3 linked regions of the Struthio camelus genome follow. The protein of the gene in region 1 interacts with the protein of each later gene in a biochemical or structural test. Links are inferred from orthologs where the notes say so. Each region holds a gene or a part of one and is shown on either strand. Other genes may lie near its edges.

The links.
Region 2: the proteins of PEX5 (region 1) and PEX12 form a complex in vitro, tested with the Homo sapiens proteins (2 studies listed by BioGRID). The link is inferred for Struthio camelus from reciprocal best matches to the Homo sapiens genes PEX5 and PEX12.
Region 3: the proteins of PEX5 (region 1) and AGXT are reported together in a solved structure, tested with the Homo sapiens proteins (2 studies listed by BioGRID and IntAct, with this or other methods). The link is inferred for Struthio camelus from reciprocal best matches to the Homo sapiens genes PEX5 and AGXT.

What each region holds. Positions count from the first base shown.
Region 1 is NC_090942.1:90,422,127-90,430,279, forward strand, and holds the start of PEX5 (peroxisomal biogenesis factor 5), read right to left. Parts: upstream 3,047-8,153; 5' UTR 2,935-3,046; intron 2,526-2,934; exon of another isoform or gene 2,430-2,525; 5' UTR 2,405-2,429; coding exon 2,255-2,404; intron 1,893-2,254; coding exon 1,857-1,892; intron 1,684-1,856; coding exon 1,551-1,683; intron 917-1,550; coding exon 782-916; intron 1-781.
Region 2 is NC_090957.1:14,844,194-14,851,533, reverse strand, and holds the start of PEX12 (peroxisome assembly protein 12), read right to left. Parts: upstream 3,026-7,340; 5' UTR 2,926-3,025; coding exon 2,800-2,925; intron 1,884-2,799; coding exon 1,342-1,883; intron 755-1,341; exon of another isoform or gene 673-754; coding exon 273-672; 3' UTR 1-272. UniProt on the Homo sapiens protein: Component of a retrotranslocation channel required for peroxisome organization by mediating export of the PEX5 receptor from peroxisomes to the cytosol, thereby promoting PEX5 recycling.
Region 3 is NC_090950.1:3,953,258-3,961,386, forward strand, and holds the start of AGXT (alanine--glyoxylate aminotransferase), read right to left. Parts: upstream 3,026-8,129; 5' UTR 2,688-3,025; coding exon 2,442-2,687; intron 2,293-2,441; coding exon 2,100-2,292; intron 1,772-2,099; coding exon 1,707-1,771; intron 1,620-1,706; coding exon 1,519-1,619; intron 1,314-1,518; coding exon 1,243-1,313; intron 862-1,242; coding exon 777-861; intron 376-776; coding exon 280-375; intron 1-279. UniProt on the Homo sapiens protein: Peroxisomal aminotransferase that catalyzes the transamination of glyoxylate to glycine and contributes to the glyoxylate detoxification.

The sequences.
Region 1 (8,153 bases):
TTCAGAGAGTCTCCTCAGAGAGATGCCACTGCAGTAATATGCCAGCGTCCTTAGGATTTCCTACTTCAATTTCACAATTTACTCTGTTGCTCTGTGTGAGATGCCATGTAGGTCAGGAAAATTAGCAATTTATTACAAGTCTCTAGTGCTTTCCATCAGGCCCTAGCAAGCGTTGAGGCTTTATGGTACCTACTCCCAGGAATATAAAGAGAGAAGGTGAGTGAATGGGTCTACCTGGCTCTCTACAGTGGCTACTCCTGGGGGAAGAGAATAGCATCTATTTAAATCGTTCCCATCATTTCCAAGCTAGGTCATAGATGGTCACAGCTCTGTACACAAAGCAAGATGGCTTTTCAGATAAACTAGTACCTTGCTTGGAACACAGAGCTTATCCTATGGGTCAGAAACACACATAAACAAGAAGAAGCAGTACCAGCCCACCTCCAGAATTTGCAGCGGTTTGAATCATATTTTTTTTTTTTTTTTTATAAAAACAGTTTGAATAGCCTGCTTCTACTAAGTTTTGCAAGTAATCCTGGCTAAAAAAAAAAAAAAAAAAAAGCCCCTTACACCTGAATAGGAGCATCCTCACCGGATAGCGAGCAATTTGGCTAAGCTATTCCAAAGCAGCTTCTTTTCATGTTCACACTACTACAAAAAACACTGACTTCTTGGGCCCAAACAGTTACTCCAATTTCATATCCAGTAACTTAACTCTCCACTGTACAAAAACATGCGACTGGGCAACACCTCAGCCTTACTTCCAAAAGGGAGTCGTCACCTGTCACTTCAGCTATGAACTCCTGTGACCAGTCAGCCTCGTTGTAGTCTGAAGAGACATCACCAGTGCCATCTGCCTGAGCCAAGAACTCCTGGGTCCAGTTTTCAGACAGCGCCAAGGCTGCCACACCTGGAGCTACAGGAAGAAAAACATACATGAGGATGGGAGGACTCAGAGACATGATTTAAATGTCTCAGGCTCCTTCAGATAGCCATCATCTTCTCTGATCAGGTCCCTTTCTCTCTGTTAGACCAGAATCACAGGAAGATTTCACTTGAAAGGGAGCTCTGCAGGTCTCCAGTCTTCTCACAGCAGGGTAACTCCAAAGCTGGATCAGGTTGCTCAGGGGCTTGTCCAGGCAACTACTGAACATCTCCAAGGATGGCGATTCCCTGGTCTTTCTGGGTACCTGTTCCAGTGCTGAATCATCCTCCAAGGAAAGAAACTTTTCCTTACATCTATAGACAGTTTCCCTTTTTACAACTCGTCCCCACTGCTTCTTGTCCTTTTGTTGTACATGACTGCAAAGATTCTGGCTCTGTCTCCCCATTACGTAGCTGAAGGCAGCAATTAGATCCCATCTTAGCAATTAGAATCCTCTTCTCCAAGCTGAACAGACACAGTTCCCTCAACCTTTCCTCTTCCATCATGTATTTCAGCCCCCTGACATCATCTCACAAGTGCTGAATAGAGGGGACCCAACCTACTGGGAGCCTAACCAAACTACAAAGGTCTTTTCCTGCTCTCCACATACTGCAGCGCCTCTCACCTCGCTGAGGGGCCTGTCGGAAGTTTGACTGCTCAATCTCCTGCATCTCAGCCAACAGGTCATCCATCTTAAAGGTCTGGGGTGCACGGGACAGTAAAGGGGCATTCTGCTCTTGCAGGAACTCTCCAACCAACTGCGAAAGAGACAGATGGAGAGTGAATATAGTGCAGAAGACAAACAGGCAAAGTAATGGAGCATGCGAGAAAGGAGCAGGCTAGGTAGAAAGAAAGAACAAACAGAGAAAAAAAGTATCAACTGAAGTGTTAAGAGAAAAAGTAGTAAGGAAATATATCAGCCTGTTCTTACCTCATCTTCAGAGGCCACTCCCAGCGGTTTGGATACCTGCAGGGAACAGTGGGCAATCACCCCAACAGCTTTGACACTGTACACCTCACACACCAAGGCCTGATAAATTCACATCCTCCTCTTCCTCGAAGTTAGGCTAGCAGCACTTTCTTAGCACTACCTGCCTGCTTACGCAGAAGCCGAAGGAGAAGAAACAGCCCCAGCGATGTTTGCCTAACTGCTCCCGCTCTGGGCCGACCCCCACGGCAGTAAGGCACGCAGTCCACCGCAGCCATCCATATCCCCCCCAAAAAACCAGTAGGGCCCCCAGAGTCCCTCCGGCCTGCACGCCCCCACTCCGCGCTCACCGCCCCCCACCGCGGGCAGGCCCCAGCCCGCCCCATCGCCGCGGCACTCACGGCTCCGGCGCCGGGGGCCCCCCCGGGCCAGCTCAGGGGGCCCTGGAGTCCTTCCTGCCGCAAGGCTTTGTCCTGCGTGAAGTGGCCGGCCAGCTTCATGAGGGCGTTGGAGCTCCCGCACTCCGGTTCCACCAGCTCCCTCATGGCCATGGCGCCAAACCCCGCCGGGCCTCACCTGGCGCCGGGCGACACCGACACGCGCGCAGGCCCCGCCGTGAGCGACATGGCTACGGCCGCCGCCCCCGCCCGGCCGGCCCGGTCGCGCCGGAAGCATGTGAGCTGCGGGGGGGGGGGAGGGGGCGCCAGGCCCCCCCGCCCCGGGGCAGGTCCTGGCGCAGAGCCCTGGCTCCGCGACGGGCCGCCACGGCGCCTGCTCGGCCGAGGGCAGCCCGGGCGGGCACAGTCACCAGCGACGCGCAGGAGCCCCGCGCCCTGCCGCTGCCGGGCAGCGGCGCCCCACAGGCTGGCAGCGTCTCCCCCCCTCCCTCTCTTCCTCGACTCGCCCGCCAGAGGAGCCCCCTCGCCAGGGTGGCAAGGCCGCAGCGCCCCCGCCCAGCCTCGCAGCCCCCGCCCGCCCGCCCGCCAGTCCCTCCCGGGCCACCAGCCCGGGCGGCGGGACCCCCCGCGCCGCCCGGGCAGGATGGCGCGGCCCGGGGGGCTCCCCCCGTCTAGTGCCTTACCGTGGGTCCGCCAGGGCTTGCGACGCTCACGGGGCACGGCGGGGCGGGGCTAATCCTTAAAGGAGCAGGCACCAGCGGCGCCCGTTAAAGGGGCAGTGCCCCGCCGGCTCCCGGCGCGCAGGGGCTGCTCCGAGCGCGAGGTCTGCACCCAGCCGGTGCTGGCCGGCGGGGAGGAGGATGGGAGGCAAGGCTCTCGGGCCGCTAAAATATTGCAGCTGGTGGTAACAGGTAAAAACTGTGCATTTAGCTGAAAAGTATGTAGTAGCCATAGATACATAGTAGCCATTAGATAAGCCATAGAAATGTCAACTCCTTAAAAGTTTTCATCCCTTTTGCCACATGTGTGATCCCAAAGGAAGAGCACCGGAGAAATCGGAGCTGATACAATCATAGCTTCTAAAAGAAAGGGAGAACCACGAAGAGGGGTTTGCACGATGTATGCTGCCTCCTGTGACATTAGGGTGCTTTAAAAAGTATTTGAAGAATCAAATCCTGTCTCCTCCTTCTCAAAAGGAATATGTTCCTCTGTAACATCCCTGCCACGCTTCCTAGATGCAGTTCATCTGACTAAAAGCTGATGTCCAGTGCTGTTTTAGACACTGTATTCCTTGGCAGTAGATCTTCTTGACTGCTCCCCTCACAGCTTTGAAATTCACATGACGTCTATGGCAAGCAGCATGGTTCAAGGGAAACAAATCTCTTCAGAGATACAGTTGGGGCTGGAGAGCCTAGATCTATACCAAACATGTTTGAGCGGTTTGCTTTGGATTATCTCTTCCCTGACCCCATGGACTGAACAGCAATTAGTGCTTGAAGTGCATTAGGTATGCTCTCAGGGCACATCTACTAGCTTAGTTTCCTCTGAGAGGAGTCTAGTTTGCACACTCTGAGACTGTTCTGCAATATGAACCAAAGCACAGCAAGTGAGGATGACTGGAAGATTCACTTTGAATGCCCGCTTCTGACATCAGTTCAGGCACTAATGTGGAAGGAAGCACCCTACATCTGGCAGGCAGCTGCATTAAGACATCAACACTTGAAAAGCCATTGACATGACCGCTCTTACACATAGAGCCCTAGGCTGCATGTGTCATGTAAAGCTGGTGAAATACATTTCTTTCTTCTAGATGTCTGCCTTATGATATTGCTCTCTACTTGCCTGCAAGTTGTAGTCAACCTAGGACCAACCTGGTCCTTCCAGTGTGAAGCTCCTGGAATGAAAAACAAGACTTGCCAACTATTAAAAAATGCTATTCCTATACATGTGTAGTAGGATCGAGGGTCAGTAAGAGCCTGTGAAAAGAGACAGAGGGAAGAGGCTTTTGGAGAGACTCCTCAATTATGTTTAAGAAAAACAGATGGAGACAGTGCTGATCCTAGGGAAAACAGTAGACTGAACAAAGCTGTAGATAGGAAGAGTGTAGGCAGTGAGATAATAAGGCATGGGCAAAATCCAAAAGCAAGTGAAGGAGCAGTGAAGAACTGCAGGTGAAGCAGCTTTGACTCATAAGCATTTGTGTCAGGATCTTGAGGTGCATCCATGACACTAGCTTATGATACCTGTTCAGCCTGTCTTACTGGTTTAGGGCAGGGAGACGCAAAGACAGCTCAACAAGAATGGCATCACTGCCTCCATTCCTCAGCCTGGAGAGCAAGAACAGGCACCATAGGAAATGTACCCGCTCTCATTTCTGCTGCCTGTAGCAACAAGACACAAAGAAATACAGCCTCTCTTCTTTTGCCCTCCCATCTTTCTCTTCTCATGGGAAGACAGTGCCTTTTCCCTGGCTCTTGGCTCCCTTCAGGCACACCCAGACTCCTGCAAAACAGCACTATGACTCTGCACACCACTGAACCAGTTCTAACATTAAAACCCTTTGATCTACTGAAAATGTGACAGTATCATTTGCACCAGTCTGAAGATAGCCTGTAGGAGGCCTTGGAGAAGTATCTTCCACAGCTTGACTTTCAATCACACGGTTTGCCGTTGTCCTAAGGCTAGAGAGTGAGGAGTGGCTGCCCCTCTCCCCCCCCCCCCCCCCAAAAAGGAATAGGAACAGACCTTGCAGGGTGAGGCTGTCTGGGTCTTAGACCCAGAGCAAAAGAGCCAGGAACAAAAGTCAGATGCTCATTTATCCTTTTCAGCGCTAAGAGACTGTGCTGCAACTAAAGGAATCAGAAGTGGCAGTAGTGGCAAAGCATGTAGGACCACGACAGCTATAGCTGTCGGTGGGTGAATTTCCTGCTGAAGCCACAATTATTTCTGTTTGCAGAAAGCATAAGAAGGTAGAAAGCAAAAGGTCCAATCTAAAGTCAGGAGAGAAGACTTCAGTCTGTTCAGACACATGCCTGGAAGAATCCCATGGAATAAAACCCTGAGGAAAGAGGGGTCCAAGAGAGTCGGTTGATATTCAAGGATCACCTCCTCCAAGCTTAAGAATGGTCCATCCCCATGAGCAGGAAATCAAGCAAAGGCAGCAGGAGACCTGCATAGATGAACAAGGAGCTCCTGACTAAACTCAAACATAGAAAGGAAGTGTACAAGAACTGGAAGCTGGAGGAGGGATACAAAGATACTATATGAGCAGGCAGAGATGGGATTAAGAGAGCTAAAGCTAAAGTCCAGCTAGAGTTGAAGCTGGAAGGGGACGTGAAAGGCAAAAAGACTTCTATAAGTACATAAGCAGCAAAAGGAAGGCTAGGGAAAATCTGGGCCCGCTACTAAAGGAGACAGAGGCACTGGTGACAAAGGACACCAAAAAGGCAGAGGTACTGAATGCCTTCTTCGCCTCAGTCCTTACTGGTAAGACTGGCCCTTAGGAATCCCAAGCCCCTGAGACCAGAGGAGAAGTCTGGAGAAAGGGAGACTCTCTTGCTGGAGGAGGATCACATTAAAGAACACTTAAACAAACTGGATATACACAAGTCCTTGGCCCCTGATGAGATGCACCTGCAAGTTCAGAAGGAGCAGGCTGATGTCATTGCAAAGCCACTCTTGATTATCTTTGAAAGGTCTTGGTGATCGAGAGAGGTTCCAGAGGCCTGGAAGAAAGCAAATGTCACCCCCTACCTTCAAGAAGGGCAAGAAGGAGGATCAGGGAAACTACAGGCTGGTCAGCTTCACCTTGATCCCCGGGAAGGTGATAGAACAAATAAGTGGTCAGTGAGGTGAACTGAAAACTGGTTGAACTGCCGAGCTCAGAAACTTGTGATCAGCAGCATGAAGTTCAGCTGGAGGCCAGTCACTGGTCGTGTCCCCCAGGGGTTGATACTGGGTCTAATACTGTTTAACATCTTTATTCATGACTTGGATGATGGGACCAAATGCACCCTCAGCGCATTGGCAGGTGTCACAAATCTGCGAGGACTGGCTGATACACTAGAGGGTTGTTCTGTCATTTAGAAGGACCTCAGCAGGCTTGAGAAATGGGCAGAGAGAGACCTCATGAAGTTCAATAAAGGGAAGCGCAAGTCCTGCAGCTGAAGAGGAATTGCACTAGTACAGGCTGAGGGCTGACCAGCTGGAGAGCAGCTTTGCAGAGAAGGACCTGGGGATCCTAGTGGACAGCAAGGCGAGCATGAGCCAATAATGTGCCCTTGCAGCAGAGAAGGCTAATAGTATTCTGCACTGCATTAGGAAGAGCATTGCCAGCAGATCGAGGGAGGTGATCCTTCCCCTCTCCTCAGCACTAGTGAGGCCACATCTGGAGTACTGTGTCCAGTTCTGGGCTCCACAGTACAAGACAGACATGGATTTACCAGAGTGAGTCCAGCAAAGGGCCACAGAGGTGATTAAGGGACTGGAATATCTGGCATACAGGGAGAGGTTGAGAAAGCTGGGACTGTTCAGCCTGGAGAAGAGAACGCTGGGGGGGGGGGAGGGGCGGATCTTATTGATGTGTATAAATATCTGAAGGGAGAGCATAGAGAAGATGGAGCCAGATTCTTCTCAGTGGTGACCAGTGACAGGACAAAAGGCAATAGGCACCAACTGAAACACATGAAATTCCATCTGAACATAAGAAAACACTTTTTTCACTGTGAGAGTTGTTGAAGACTGGAGCACGTTACCCAGAGAGGCTGTGGGGTCTCCATCCCTAGGAATATTCAAGACCTGACCGGGCACAGTCCTGGGCAACTCTAGCTAACCCTGCTTAAGCATGGGGGCTGGACCAGATGATTTCCAGAGGTCCCTTCCAACCTCAGCTATTCTGTGATTCTGTACAGTCAGCAGACAGAGTAATAAAGCGAATGAGGCCTTGCGTGCAAAGTGTAAATATTTTGGCAGTGAGAAGTAAAATATCAAAAGAACCTCAGTAACTCTTGGAGAGGTGAGGAAAGCAGATGGTACAGTTCCAGAAAAGGCTGTTCTGGGCTCTGCATCACTCTGCCATTGTCAGTCTGAGGGTCGTACCCTGCTGAAGGCCCTGAGCCTGATGGAGACCACTGACAGACTGGAGGTCTCTGCCTAGCCATTTCCCTGTCTTATAATGTCATGTAGGATGAAGGTCTCTGCCTAGCCTTTTCTCCATCCTATTCCTTTCCAAGCGTAGAACTTCGCATTTGCCTTATAAATTGTGTTCTATTCTTTCAGGCCATATCTCCCATTTGGGAAGATCATTTGAATACTGATCTTGTCTTCCAAATTCATTGCAACCTTCACAGGTTAGTGTTGTCTGCAAATTTGATAGGCACACTTTCTAATCCACTAAATAAATCACTGAAGAAACTATTAAGTAGTACCACTCTGAGGACAGATCTGTGCAGACCTTCTTCTTGACACATTTTTCCTGTTAGACAATGTATCATTAAAAACTAATCTTAGATTAGGCGGGCAGTCAGCATCAGACTCTCCTAACAGTATTTTCAGTAGACTCATCTACCTATTTTCCAATGCTTCCTAGTTTGTTTGTAAGACTATCAGATGAAGCTGAATCAAAATCCTTACCAAAGTCAAGACACATGACATCTATTTCTACTTCATTACCCACAAGGCCTGCTACTTCGCCATGAAAGATTGGTTTGACGTGTTGGGTTTTTTTGACAAATTTGAGTTGTCTACTTGCTGTTTATTTGTAGGCAATAAAGTAAAGCTGACTGGTCAGTAATTCCTCAGATACTTTTTTTTTTTAAATAGCCAGTATGTTTTGCCTTTTCCAGCCTTCTGAACCTCTCCATCCTCTTCAGATTTTCAAGATCACTGCTAGTTATTCTGAGAT
Region 2 (7,340 bases), on another chromosome or scaffold:
ACTGACAGATCGTGACTGTCCTACCCTTCTGGAGCTTTGTCATGGGATGTTTGAATGGCTAAAAAACAAGAGGGCGAGCCTTATCGAAGTTTACCAAGGCAGCAAAAGTCTAATCTGTAGGACTCAAAGGAGCTTTAGAGATCCACTTGCAAGTTGTATTGGTCGATGGTCTTCTCGGGGACATCAGAAAGGGCAAATTCAGGCTCGTTGCTACCCAGTGGCCCTGCCACTCAGTCTCAGATGCATCTCTGTGAAAGCACAGAGCCGGCCTTTCAGCTCTCAGGGGAATACAGTTTGACAAGGTGCTGTAGCTCTGTGGCATAGCCTGTGACTGGGCATCGTTGGTGAGTCTTCACGTAATTATACACGCAGCGGTAGCAAAATACATAGCCAGACGTGGACAGGACCGTGGCATTGGCTCGAATTTTGCGGCACAGCGGGCACATGGTCTTCAGTTTAGGTAAGAGAGCTGAGTCCGCCCCATGGTCAAGGTGTACTGGTGGTGGAGGAGTAGGGAGCGCTGTCAGAGATTTGATCGTCTCTTGGTTTTCCGAGGAGTACCACCACTCCAGGAACTGAAGGAAGAATACGCTGACAGACAGCCCAGTGGACAGGGAGAAGGCAATGCCACCCAAAGCTTTCTTCATTGCTGACTGCACTTGTGCCTTAATGCTGTGGCAGGGAGAGAAGGAAAGGAGAAATTAGCAGTACTGCACATTTGTCCCTCTGCAAACCAAGGCTAAAAAGGTTTGGGGTAAGTTACTGCTCTATACAGCTTCTTAATGCTAAATGATTTTGTTAACATGTTCCATGTTTGTAATGAGACATCTGCTAGGGTGTTGCTCTCAGATTCTTTGTGTTTTAAGAAGAGCATAGCATCTCTAGGAAAATGTCAAGTCCTGTTTTATTCAGAGGTCTAAATCAGAAGAGTTTGGGTTGAGGGGACCTGGATCACAGAACATTTCACTCATGGACCATCATTTTACAGGACATTAAATGTGACCATGACTAGTTGTGGCTAAGTTTCAGTCCTTTTAGCAAAATGGGTACAGTCTGCTTCCCTTAATAGAAAAGGGCAGCTAAAGATTGAATGGAACGGAGGCTGGAGTGCCAAAAAAGCATTCTGATTTTATTAGCACAAACTCCTGTGAAGCTAATGCCTCTTACTTTGTTCCTTATTTACACTTACTATCATGACATTCCCTTTTGGAGCAGGGTTTTGCCACATGTAAACTTCATCTTTCTGGAGAACAAGACAGCTTAACCTAGGGGCGTTGCCTCTACGTCAGCCCACCCACAGAACCTCCTAGCAAGTAGCTGCTAAGCAGAGTTCTAATGTACCTGTGTGTCCGACTCGAGGCGGCTACTGCAGATTTCTTCTCCAAGGCCTGGATATCATCTGCAGTCAGTCTCACCAGGCGAACGCCAGCCAGCTGCAGCATGGGTGAATGATGCTGAGCTTTCCCGAGGATATAGCACAGTTGCTGGATAAGAAACCAGCCCTCCCAGGCCATGTTTACAAATGGATAGGCAGCTAGAAAGGCTCTGTAAAAGCGCTTCCAGGACGATGAGGGAGGGTGGATGGAGTACTCATCCTCTTCCCTCAGACTGGACACCAGTTTCTCTAGCTTTCCTTTCAGGTAAGGAACAAGAACAAGCAAAAGGAGAGACTTCCAGTGCTGCTTCTTTGGCAGGCCAGCACTGGCCAGCGATTGTTTGCAGTCTCCTATTGCTATCCTCTTTAAGCCATAGAAGTTTTCAGAAAAAGAGGCACTGCACCTGGCCAGATACTGCTGCTGGAGCAGTAAATCCAGGAGGATGTAGATCTCATCAAACCAACGCCAGAGGGAGCCATATCGGCCAGGATTCGACTCAGCCAGCACCTATTGAAAGAAACACAAAATGGGGAAGGAGCTGATGGTGCAGACAGATGCTAAATTACAGTAACTGTAAACTATGCCTGCAGTTCATAAAGTGAGCTGAATGGGTCAAAACTGCTATGCTTGCTCACAGCTGTGGCCAAATGTGAATCCTGGTGATGAAAAGCTCAGCTGAGAGAGCGGTGTTCAAACTCTCGACGTTCTCTCTGTGCAGCAGTTTCCCCTCAAAGCATTCACTGTCAAGTATTCACTGTCTACATTACCTGTCCTCGCTAAAGGCATGCCTCCCTGCGTATGAATACAGTTGAGCTCTCTTGAGTCAACGGGACACAAGCCAACTCTGTTTTCCATCTTGATTCTGGCTTGCTTGAATCAAGGGCAGAGGGAGCTTGCATCAGTCTGCACCCTCTGTGCAGGCGCAGACTGCTTGTCCTGCACTTCAGCTACCGTCTTGGACAGGCCATGTAACCCTTCTGCTGAGTTTCCTCTAGGGACCTTCCCCACGACACAACACTGTTGAGAAAGGCGGTTAACGCTTGCCAGGCAGTCTGAAGACAGCTTCCAGTAAGCAGTTTCTGAAGAGCACAAGGGAAATGAGAAACATAATACCGAAGGGACTTGTTTTTTTGGAGAGAGGCTCCTGTAGACTCACAGGGAGGGCGCCCAGCAGCCCCTCACATCGCCTCCGACGCCAGGACCCATGCGCCGCAATAGGGCAACAGGTCTGCTTACGCGCGGGAGCAGCACGCTGCCCAGTAATGAACCCTTCCAGCCACGCACCAAACCCACCACCGCCAACATCTCCTGTCCTCTGGGTGAAGCGTGCGTCGCCCACCGTTTCATGGAGAACAGCCATTTCACAGAAAAGAGCCGTTTCATGGAAAGTGGGCCCAGGGAACGGGAGGCGCCGGGCCCTTACCTTGGCCAGGTGCTGCAGGGCCGGCTTCACGGCGGCCATCAGGCTGTCCTGGGCCACCGCCTCGAAGATGGAGGGCCGGTCGTCGCCGGCCGGGGTGGCCGTGAGGTGGGCCCCGAGCTCGGCCATGGCGCCGCCCCCGCCGGCAGGGGGAGCCGGCGGCCCCCACGCCCTCAACGCGGCGGCGGAGCGCGGCGGCCTCGGGGCTCTCCCCCGGAAGTGGGGCGCGGCGGCGCTCTGTCTCCGCCTCGCGCCCCTCTATGGTGGCAGGGGCGCGGCCGCTCTAGGCGGGGGGAGGGTTGATTCTCGCTCCTCGCGAGTCCTCCCGGCCGCTCCGCTCCGCTCCGCTTCCGCTTCCGCCGCGGCCGCCCCCACAGCCGGTGTGTCCGTCGCCGCCCGCCGCCGTGAGTGGGGCGGGGGCGCCGGGGCACTGGGAGGTGCTGGGGGCACTGGGAGGGGTCGGCAGTACTGGGAGGGGGAAGTGGGAGGTGGTAGGGGATCCTGGGAGGGGGCACTGGGATGGGATGGGGGGGGTACTGGGGTGGAGACTCTACTGGGCCGCTGGAGGGGAGCACTGGGAGGACTGGGAAGGGATAGGGGTGAGTACTGGGAGGGGACCCTGGGGGACTAGGATGAGGGGTGTGTGCTGGGGTGGGGACTGGGTGGGGGGGGTCAGTGCTGGGGGGGACTGGGCAGGGGTGGGGGCGAGATCTGGGGGCCTGGGAGGAGGCTGGGAAAGTGAGTGCTGGAACTGGGAGGACTGGGGGGAATGGGCAGGGGTTGGGGGGCAAATCCTGGAGAATTAGGCAAGGGAGAAGTGCAGGGAGTGATTGCTGAGGGTATGGGGGGGCAAAAGTGGGACAAGTGCCAAGGCATTGGGGGGGTGAGGGGTAGGGGTACTGGGGTGGGAGACTGGGCAGGGATGGGGTGCTGGGGGCAAGCAGGAGAACTGGGTAGCGATGGGGGTTGTTGGGACTGGGGAGGAGAGATGGGATGAGAGTTGGGGAATGAAACACTGGGATAGTGGCAGGTCTGGGCGTGGGTGAGGGTTGGGCAGCAGGAGTCAGGCTCCTGGGAAGGGGCCCTGGGGGAACAGATAGAGATGGGATGGTGGGTGTGCTGCTGGAGCTGGGAACACTGGTGGGACGTGGTGCTGGTGGTTGAGGTGGAGCGATTGGGAGTCCAGCTGCATGCTGAGGGTGGGAGGGATGTGATGGGAAGCAGGGGGGAATAGGAGTGGAGGGGCTGGTGGCAAAGACAGTCCTGGAGTTGGGCAATAGGGTCTGAGGAGTAAGGAGACAATAGGAAACAGAGAGCATTTGGGAATGGGATGGGGAGCACCAAAGGCCTGGGGGTGATGGTGCCTTTGCTCCTTGGGAGGGGACAGACTGCCTGCTGTGGGCACATGCTCTTAGGGCTGAGGGCTTCTAAAGCTGAGGCAAGCTTTCCCTTTTGCCATCTGTGTTTGGCTGCTCCATTTGTTTCCTGGTGCCCAGGCCGCCCCGAGCCATACTGGGCTATCATGCACATACTCTAGAGGTTTTGCAGAATGAAGCAGGTGTGGATAAGAAATGGATGCCAGCTGCTATGTAAGTCTGGTTAAACTGGGGATTGCGTTAGAGCTTTAGGGGTTCAACACAAAACTGTTTCAATACTAGACTGCTTGTATTAATGCCGAGTTGAGACCTTAAACCTGCCCCGTTCCTGTTTACATCTGCATGAAATCAGTGGTATTGAGCTCAGGCCAGGCTGTTGTTTGAATTCTGTGCAGGGCAAAGCTAGTGCTGGTCAGCTGCAGGATTCAGTTTTCGCTATGATTTTAGACTGAAGCTGCTTATGCTTCTGGTTGTGATGGTTCCTTAGTCTTCTCATTAAATCATATTTTTGGTTCGGTCTACATTTAAATGTCAAGCTAATGCTTAAAGCATTAACCATTGCCAGACCTTCTGGAGGAATTCCTCTGCTTCATCTCCTGTTTTTTGGAGGAGGAAGTGAGGGGTAGAACAGAACCCTTTTGCTGTCAGCTTGAACACCTTTTATGAGTTTTCGCTTTAGCAGGTGTTGGTTGGACACAGAACAACAGGAAGGCAAGCGCAATCTATCTTAGATTTTTCTCTAAAAACATAAGGATGTTTGTGGCGTGGTTGTAAATTTTCTCTGCTCTCTTCAAATTTAGATTTGTATACAAGAAGCTGGCATTTTCTTCAGTTATTTAAAACATTGCTATTTGTAAATCTGCTCTGCTTTGGTTTTGGCCTTCCTCTGGGACTTGCTGTAAACCATGCAGAGTTTGCTTAGTCCATTGCACTTGGTACTGCTACCAAGCTGTCTCTTAACAACGTATGAAGCAAGCTATGGCCTACACAAAACAAAAATCCACATACCTGCGAAAAAGAGTTTTCTCCAATGTTGCACTTGGAATATGGTAGTTGTGTTTCTTATTGAAATAAATTGAATCTTGTTTTACATCTGTCAAAACAGAGGTTATGAGGACACGGGCTGTGGTTGGCCGTGTTTGAAGTTTGAGTGTGTGTTTTATGATTATTCTCCATGTTTCCAAGTATGTGATCTGAAGTTAGAAGGACAGTGAAATAGCCTGCTTTTGAGTATACATATCACCTGTGAAATTCAGCAAGGGTTCTTCTGTGTAGCTTTATACAACTGGGTGAAGTGTGTTGTTGTTTTTCCTCTGGATTTTCTCTAACCTGCTATTGGTCGCTGTTAAAACAGTATCAGACAAGGTCAGCTGGAAGGTATGACCCAGCTAGATAAAGACTTGTATAATGCAACGAGACCAAAGCACAGTGAGACTGTATTGAAACTCTTTTGGGATCGTGCCAATTATTCTGGTAGACAAAAACATTTAAGTCGTCTTCTGAGCTAGGCTCAAATCCGGAGGACTGTGTCAGCAATAACACTGCTGCTGAAACGAGGCTGCTTTTTTAATTATAAAACAAGACCCACAGCAGCCCCCTCTGCGGGGGTGCTGTGACTTTATTGGAAAGGCTACTGTGTTATGTTGTGGCTCATGTGGCCTTCCCAACCCAGCCTCTGTTTGAGAAGGAGGAGAAACCTCTCTTGCAGGCAAAGTGCACTTCCAGAGCTGTCCCCAGGCGCGTCGTCCAGCTTGGCAGGAGCAGGAAGGGGACAAAATCAAGCCAGTTTGAGTAATACTGGGATGAGGAGAGGTGACCAGCAGGCGCAGGGCAGACAAAAGCTCCAGGGAGCTGGGCGAAACTACAGGTTGTGTTTCTCTCCCGCTCTCTGGGCGGCTGGACAGGATCACCACCGCTCTGCGTTGCCACCCTGTAGAGCACGCTAAAGGTGACAGAAACTGCCATTATCCTGCGGCTGCTGCTCGTGCGAAGTTAACTCCTGAGGTATTAAAATGATTTAGGTGGCCAGAAAAAAAAAGAATGATAGTAGTGTTGAGGCTGGTTAAGGGATGAGGAAGAAAAGTGTTAAGGAGCAGCGAGCTAGTTGCAGTGCTGGGCAGCATCTTGGAGTTTAGAGCTAAGCTTGTCCTTTCGTTGTTGAGCCAGCAAGGCCCAAGAGGATTGGAGGCAAACAGGCAGCAGCGTTTAGAGAAGAAATGACTCACTTCTTTACCGGTAACATTTAAAGGTAATAGCAGTATCTAGAAGAGAAGGGGAGTTAGGTAAAGGAGTGAAAAGGTACAAAGCAGCATGTTTTGGATAGTTTGGAGGATATAGATTTTTAGCCAGGATGCAGATTGTATCATCCAAAACGGTAAGATTGCCCACTCCGATGCTTGTTTTTCAGCCAATACTTGCAATTGTTTGTCATGTTTGTCACAGAGCTGGCAATTGCAAAAATAAAATGATGGCTCTCTGCTATGTTCGGACAATCCCTGTAATCTATGTATTTATAATTTGGTTCTGTGGAGCAAGAAAAGTGCTGGTGAGACCTTTCTCACAGCTCCGTTAAGCACTTTGCTGGCCCAGCAGCATTTTTCCACAAAAAAGCAGTGCAGTACAGAGCTAATAGCTTGTGTGTTTGTCAGAGGTGGGGTGCAAGATCTTGGCAAAGAAAGATTTCAATTTCAAGCTTGAGAGAACCAAAAAGTAATGGCTTTTCTTTTCAAAAAGTGTTTTGCATTTCCTGGGGTTTAGGAAGAACAAAAGAGGGAGAAAAATCAAAGGGCCTCCGGGTGGGTTTGGCAAGTAGGACTAATTGTTCTTTCCATCAAGATGCAACATAAAAACGTATCGTTAGGGGGAGTTGACGGTTTCCTTTGTCTGAAACATGGACTTCTCACTTCCAGTTGAGATATTAAATGTGCACTGCTTTTTTGGGAAAATGAAATTGTTTACCCAGGGGAGAGGCGGCTGCAGAAGGTGTCAAGATCTCCTCGTTATAAGCAGTTAAAAATGATCTTTCTCCTTTCAAGATTAAAAATCAGAAAGCTGAGGTGGCCACCTCTGCTTTTCTAGTCTATCCACAGCAGGTGCTTTTATTTTCACTAACGCTGTTCGTTTGAACCCTTTAAAGCCATGGGTTTCCCAAGTAATAACAGCATTTGG
Region 3 (8,129 bases), on another chromosome or scaffold:
AAGCACCCAGGGCAGCCCGTGAGGAGGATGGGGCTGATGGGGAGAGGTGGCAGAGCCCTGCGTGGAGGAGCCGGCGTGACAGATCCCTGCAGGACAGGTGACCGGCCAGCTGGGCGAAAGGCTGTGCTGGGGAGGGGACCCATGCTGGGTGCCTGGGTTGGGAGGAAAGGGCTCTTTCAGGGTGGGGGGGTGCTGCAAGCTGGGAGGAGCTTTGGGCAAAGGGAAGCAACCCGTGTTGGGATGCCTGTGGCCATCTGTCCCAGGACAGCCTCTCCTCACGTTCGCGGCTTGCCGTCACAGCCCCAGTAGTTTGCCAGCCAGCCCATGTCTAGGTAGAAGGAGGGAGGCTTCGTCTTCCTCCTCAGCATCTTCTCCCTGGTGAAGCAGAGCACAGGGCCTGAGCTGGACTCTGGGGACCCCCAGCAGGGATCACCCCATCCCCTCATCAGCTCCAGGCTGGGGGTCTGCCTTGTGCCACAGCCTCCCCAAGGAGAGCACCAGGGGAGCTCCAGGCCCACGGGCAGCTCCAGGGCCAGGGCCAGTGTGGAGCAGGGAGCGGTTCTCGCGGAGCTCTCGGTACCAGCCCCAGGGCCAGCATCGCTGCTGGGGGGGTGCTAGCCGGCACAGGGCCTGGCTCTGGCCCCAGCAGACCTGGTGCTGGGAGCACTCTCCTTGGCAGGGCTGGACCAGATGGACAGCAAAGGAGAGGGGTTACGGCCTGCCCCATCCCCTCTCCCCATGGCTGCCGCCCACAGAGAGGACAGAACTGTCCTTACCTGGCTCGCTCGCTGAACGAGATGGGAGAACTGCCAGGGGGGGCGCTGAGGACCTTCTGAGACCCCGAGTACAAGACGTCAATCTCTGCACAAGAGGAGAGAAAGCTCCTCAGAGACCCGGGGGCTCCCTGGCGGGAAACGTGTTGCCCCAGGTCTCGCTCACGTTTGTCCTGCTGTGAATGGTGTGTGGGGAGCATTGAGTGGATCACAGGTGCTGTGGGGTCCTGGTTGTGTTTGGCCTGCTCTGAGGGACACCTTGGCACCTCTGGTAGTCCTCACCGAGAGGTGGAGGTGGCCACAGGGTGTCTGGCCACAGCTGGACCAGTTTCTAGTGTCACTGGCGTGAACTGACAGGTGATGGAGCTGATCCTGTTTCTATCTCCCCCTCCAGGCCCCGGTGTGAACCTCTGGCATGTGGGACCCTCTTGTCCATCCGGGTGCCCCCGACAGCACCCACAGCTCTTACCCTGCTGGTCCATGAGGATAGGTGCCCCCCCAAGCGATGCCACCGCGTCCACAAGCAGCAGGCAGCCGTGCCTGGGGGAGGACAGAGCTCAGCCCTGGCCTCTTGCCACCTCCTCCTGCCCTCACGCCCTTCCTCCCTCCCCTTTTCCTCCAACCTTGAGTGTCGCAGCCCCCCAAGGTCACACGTCATGAATCAATCCCCGCCCCCCAGTCCCGGACAGCCAACTGGGCATGGGCTGCCACCTCGGGGTCCCACGGGCACCCATTGCTCACTGACCGGTGGCACAGCTCGCCCAGCCCCTCCAGTGGCTGCAGGACGCCCGTGGAGGACTCGCCGTGGGTGATGAAGAGCAGTGAGGGCTTGTGCCGCACCAGGCCCTGCATGGAAAGAGAGAGAGAGATGAATCGCTCAGCCCCGGGGCTGGAGGGCTAGGAGGGAGCCCACCGCCTGCGTCCGGCACTCACCTCCTCAATGTCCCGCAGGGTGAAGTACTCGCCCGGGGGCTTCAGCACCTTATGAACGTCGGCTCCTGGAAGGGATTTGGGCAGAGTGAGAGTCAGGCTCGGCCCTTCCTCCTGCTCCACAGAGGAATAAGTCACATATTAACCAGGAGCAGAGCCACTGGCCAGAGTCCGGCCTCCTGGGCATTTGCCCAGTGGAAAAACCATAAACCACCATAAGCAGAGGGCTTCACCCAGGACTTTCTCCTGTCCCCAGTGCAGTGTCTCCAGCCACAGCAGCCCAGGATGGGGACAGCGGGCAGGATCTCCTGGGCGAGGGTGTCCTAGCCCGCAAGCAGCTGGTTAAACCCTGAGCCCCACTGGTGTGGTTTGCAGCCCGGCTGCCCCCCGGCATACCCAATCTCCCGGCAATGTTGGCTGCGCGCTCGCCCCAGATGCCGTTGACGGCCACCAGCACGGCGTCGCCCTGCTCAGCCAGGTTGAAGAGGGCGGCCTCCATGGCGCAGTGGCCGGTGCCGCTGATGGCCAGGGTCAGCGGGTTGCGCGTCTGGAAGGCGTACTGGATGCCCGCCTTGATCTCGTCCATGATCTGTGGCGGGCAGCAAGAGACCGCTGCCGTTACCACTGCCCTCATCCCCGCGGAGCCCTGCCGGCACCTTGCCCTGAGGGGCTGCATAATGGGGCTATGGTGAGGATGAGGAGGGGAGGGGAGGCAGGCAGGGCCAGGAGGTGACTCACCTGCAGCATCTCGGGGTGCATGTGGCCCAGGAGCTGCCGGCCGCCCGCGGCCAGGATGCGAGGGGGCACATTGCTGGGTCCCGGCCCCAGCAGCAGCCTCTGTGGCACGGCCAGGGGCTGGCGCAGCTGCTCCGGCGGGGCGACGTGCAGAGGGCCGGCAGCCATGGTGCGGCACAGCGGCTCCCGGATCCGAGTCGGGAGGAGAGAGGCTGCCCGCGCGATGCCCCACACCGCTGCACTGTGCATCACCACGGCCAGGAGAGCCCAGCGGACCCCGACCCCGGGGGAGGACGCTCTACCCCGTCACTGGTCCGGACTCTGCCCCTGGCTGCCTCCTCTCCCGGTTAATGTGCCACTAACACCAGCCCCGCCGCCTCAGCCCTCTCATCGCAGGGGATGCCCCCCACCACGCTCCCCCCGGGGCCGCATCTGCCCCTCATTGACTCCGTTTATCTGCCCTGCACATCAGCAGCTCCCATGGCAGACGGGAAACACCTGCCCATGGGGCCAGCTATCGCAGACAAATGTCCCTCGGCATTTTCCAGCCACCTTGGCAGCACCTGGGCCCCTTGCATGCCCTTTGCAACAGCCGTGACGTAACCCACCACTCAGGATGGGTCGCGGCAGCTCTCTCCGGCCCCAGATCGATGAATGCGCTGGGCTGGCGTCCACCCCGTTGTCTCCGTGTGCACTGAACATGCTGTCCACCCCAGGGCTGAGGGTAGGTCACGGCTCCTTGCGCCACGTCCCAGCAAGACATGGCATGAGCCACTCGTGGGCTCCGCGAGCTGGGGGAAGATGAGCTGCTCTTGTACCTTACTTTGATGGGCAATCCCGTTTTTCTTCACCTGCAAGAGGAAGAGGGGGGGAAGGTCTTGGGGTCCGCCAGTGGGATCTGGGCCCCAGGTGCCCATGGAGGGGACGTCCCACCTTGGTGAGGAGGCACATTAAGGGGGCAGAAGAGGATGGTTGATGGGTTCCCAACGCCTTCTTGGTGGGAGCCCTGCTGCAAGGGGAGGCAGACACTGCTCACAGGGTCCCTGCTGCCCCCGTTCCAGGGGAAATGCACCTCAAGACCGGTCCTGGCACAGCTGCCACTGTTGGGATACCTCCAGCATCGCAGGGGTGTAGCCCTCCCAGGCCGTGAGCCTGTACTCACTGATGGGGACATGAGTCTGTAACACCTAGTGTGACCACTGCATCCAGTCCATAACAGAACCTTATTCTGCATTAACCTCACTATAAGACAGGTCTATCGATCATTGCTCTGTGCCCAAGGACCAGCCTTGCAGACGGATGCCCATCCAAGTGCCATCCACCCAGAGAAGACTAGGTGTTGGGATGATTTGCCCAAGGGCAGAGCCACAGGGCCGGACATGCCTCTGCAGCAGCCACAGTCCCTGCTGGAGTGAGCTGTGCTCCTGCAGGCTTGGCCCAGCTCTCAGGTGTCATGGTGTGTCCTACAACACATTATGAAGTTGCATGACAAGCATGCCTGTTGTTCAATGTGCCATGGCTGTCAAGTGTGCCTGTGGTCCATCACACTGTGCCCATTGTCCATCATGTTGTGCCTGTCATCTGTCATGTGTGCCCGTGGTCCATCGCAGCCTGCCATCCTCCATCCTATGTGACCGTCTTCTGTCACGTTGTGTCTGTCATCTGTCATGTCTGCCCAGGGTCCATCATGTTGTGCCCATCAACCATCACACTGTGACCATCCTCCATCATGTTGTGTCTGTCTTCCATCATGCTGTGCCTGTCATCCGTCATGCTGTGCCTGCCATCTGTCATGTGCGCCTATCATCCAGCACGTGTGCCTGTTGTCCACTGCATGTGCCCGTGGTCCATCACACATGTGTTTCGTCCATCATGCCATTCCTGTTGACAGCCAAGGCAGCTCCCTCTCAGCTGTGCCAGATTTCCACGTGAGTGATTCTGACCTCCTCTACACAGCCCAAAGCTGGGAGAAGGACTACGGCTCTGCTGAAGCCTGCAGTGTTCCTCCACTGAATGAGAACCATGGGTCAGATATCAACTCTGAAATGCAAGCGCCACGACCCTGAGAGCTGCCCGTTGCAGGCTCTTGGCAGGTCTGGGAACGGGTCCCCGGCTGTGAGGAGCTGGCAAGGCTCCTGTGTTTCCGGCGGATGAACGGACTGTGGCTCAGAGCCAAGTGCTCGCTCCCTGGCCACTCTCCAGCTTCCTGATCTGATCTCCTCTGGGATGGCGTGGTCCCTGCTCAGCCAGCAGCGGGCAGGAGTGACCCACAGTAGTGTGGACCTGCCTGCTGCCCTGTAAAAAAGATGCTAAGAGACCTGCTTTTTGCAGCAACTGGCTGCTTCTCTCCATGAACCTCTGCCCATCCCTTCCTCCTGCCCCAGCCTGTGCAAGTGCTTCCCTAGAAAGGAGTCAGCCAACAACTTGGGGCTGGAGACGATGCTTATGGGATGGAAAGTCCCTACAAGCTTGCTGGTTTGGTGCAGGAGAGGTGACTTGTCACCTAATGTCACTGGACCACCACGGCCCTGGACCCTGCTGGGGCTGGCCATCTCCCTGCCGCGGGCAGCTGCCTACGAAAGAGCCTACGAGGAGCTTTTTGCCTACGAGGAGCTTTTTGCCATGAATTGCAAGCGGAGCCGTAAGCCGAAAGCCCTTGGGCAGGCCTCCGTGTGGCAGCATGGATCATTGGCACGTGCCTGGGGCTGGCATTTTAATCTGTGGCAGAGGACAGGGAGCCCCTTCCCCTTATGTGTCTGTAGGTCCTGGCAAGGGCAGTCCTGCTGGCCCCTTCTCTGGGCCTGCAGGGCAGGGGGTGATGCTTGGGGCTGTTGGTGCCAAAGGAGATGTCTGGGGCAGGATCAGCTGCGCCGCTGTGACTGCTGCTGGCACATTGCCCTCCCTACGCAAACACGCAATCCTGTTTATGATGATCCACAAATGCAGTTTCGGCCAGGCCTTTCCCTTCAGAGTATAGTCTTTCTCTGCTGAGATTAATGAAGATGAACAAAAGGTGCAAGCTTCGCCTCGGTGGGAGGTGCTAAACTCTGCTTCAGCTCAGACCAACACACATCTAGGAACGACCTGCCTACAGCTGACTGGCTCTGTCGGCCTTGAAGACCGTCTCTGCCCCTTGCATTGGGACAGGTACAAAAAGCTGTGGTGAACGAGCTCTGCTCAGCTTCCAGATTGACCAGCTAGATTTCCCCTTGGTTAAGACATGAGGTCTGCCCAGCATCTGTCACTTTGTATGGCTTTACCCATTCAGCAGAGCGCGGGGGCATACGTTTCAGACCCGTTTAGGTACAAGACTTCGGTAGGTGCTGCAGTGCTCCTGTATCAGGGCTTGGGAGTACAAACTTCAGGCCAAACGCCATCAGGCAGCTGCATCGTGGGGCCTTATCGGGCCAGGCGACTGCACCTCTTTGAACGGTGAGAGCGCTGCTGCCTGAGGTGTGCTGTGACCAGCCGGCTCCTCTTCTCCGAGAGGAGCTTGGAGCAGGTCGGAGCAGAGAACTTGTGTTGCTGCAGAGATGGTGGAAATAGCTACTAGCCTGGCAACTGCTGCTGGCTCCTCATTTATAGAAGTGAAGACAAGAGGGGTTGTGGAGGAACAACACCTTGTCACATCCCAAAGGCCAACAGAAGAGTGTAGAGCATGTGCAATGCCCCCTGGCACCCAGGTTGGAGAGACCTATCCTGTGGCTCCACCGCGCTTGTAAAAAATGGATGGGGGGAATCACGTAGGGGACTCTGTTCCACCCCTTTCTTTGTACTGCTCTGCCTTCTCCATAGCTCTGAGTTGCCAGGAGAAGTCCCAATGTCCCCCACCTTGCTGCGGCTCCTGCAAGGCAGGAAGCAAGCATGGAGGTGGGAAGGCAGGGCCAAGAGAGGAAACTCGTCCCTTGGCCAGCGACAAGAGACACAGCGGTGCTCAGGTGCCTCCTGCAACATGAATTTGTTGTGGGGCGCCGGGACCTCCCCCCCCCGGCCAAGTACACGGCTGGCAATGGGGTGTGACCGGGCCATGTGGCTAAAGCAATCATCAGCGGAGACAAAAGCACAGCCGGCACCCGAGGAATACTCACCTCCGTGCCCTCATGCCTTGGGCTGCAGCAAGGAGGGAGTTTGGGGTGGACAGAGCCTTGATCACCGGGGAAGGGCAGGCTTCTCCTCCCTGCTGGCCTTCCCGGCCATCACACCAGGGCGCTCTGGGACAATATCACGATTTGAGAAACAAATGAGCCGGTGGTTTCTGGAGGGAAACATTGCTGGGAAGGGCTTGCACAGGGGTGGCCCCGCATCTGTTTGCTGTCTGCTAAGCTCTTGCTTGTTGTGCCTTTATCAGGGGCATCTGTGCAAACGCGAACCTCACCTTGTACTGCAGGGAAAGAGGATTAGTTTGAAGTCGTCTTTTACTATAACAAATTCCCTGGTGGGGTACCAGCCCCACGTCCCACGCCAGAACCGTGGGCTGGCCGTGTCAGGACTGCCGTCGGACGGGTTACAACTGGCACGTGTTCACATGCAGGCCCACATGCATGTCGTGGCTTCTGGGTTCATGCTGTGGGAGTGCAGCAGAAAAAGTGGCGTCAAAGCAGAGCAGATCCATCCCCAGCCTGGTTCGGGAAGGCTTGCTAACTCCCCCTGTCCTGGGTCACCTCATAGAGCAAAAGAGGGGGGAAGGAGCCAAGGTTTTCAGGAAAGAAGTCAAACCCAGGAGCTGTGAGGATCCCATGGGGACTGGACTTGGAGAACGGAGGACTTGAAAAAAGAGAAACAATACCATCTCGATAAATGCTTAATGAGAAATGTCAGGAGGGGGGCAACGTCAGGCATTGATTCCTAGGCGGGGGTTGCAGGCAAGAGGGTGTTTTCTAGGTTTGTTAAATCATCTCCTCCTGTAAATACCTCTCTGCCTGGGGCAGGGGAGGCTGGACAGCAGTTTGCGTATGAAGCAGGCAGTCAAGGGGAGGCAACAGCCAAGGTGGTGTGATTTCAGAGCGGTCCGTCCAAGCCGCTTTCTTCCACCCCCCCAACGCCGAGCGGCTGCTCTTTGCCAAGCGAGTAGTAATCAATCCCCTCTCCGGCCTCGGCTGGGGACCAGTGGGTCAGACCACTCTGATATGAACAATCTTGCAACAGAGGTCTGATGGATGACTTCTCTGGAGCGCGCTGAGATCTCAAAGACGCTAGTCCAACAACGCTGTTTGTCTCATATCGTTCCTCTTCACCTGCCTAGCGAAAAGCCTCGCTAGCTGGAGGTTTGCCCGGTGCAGGATGTGGCTCCAGGGCCGTGCCCAGGCTCTTTGCCCTTTCCAGCCAGGATCCGTTCCCTCTGCTGACGGGAGTCTCCGGCTTCGAGGTCGCTGCTGGATCCAGGCTCGCAGCACTGCAAGCTCTGCCCTGAAACACTTAATCACAGAAACCAAAGCCCTGCTGTAGAGGCAGGAGAAACTTGCTGAAAAACGCACCATCTCTTCCGCTGGCAGCCAAAAGACCTTTCTCCTGCCGGTCCTCCGGAGAGTCTTCCAGAAAAGGCAGGGGAGGAGATGCGTGGCTTGTGCTACAAAGCCCCTTCCCAGCCCTAAACACCGTGAAGGGGCAGGAAGGGGGGGGGGACACGTTCTTCCTTGACCACCGTTACGGGGTGAGCGGGAGCAGCAGGCACCGTTCTCGCAAGCAGGAAAG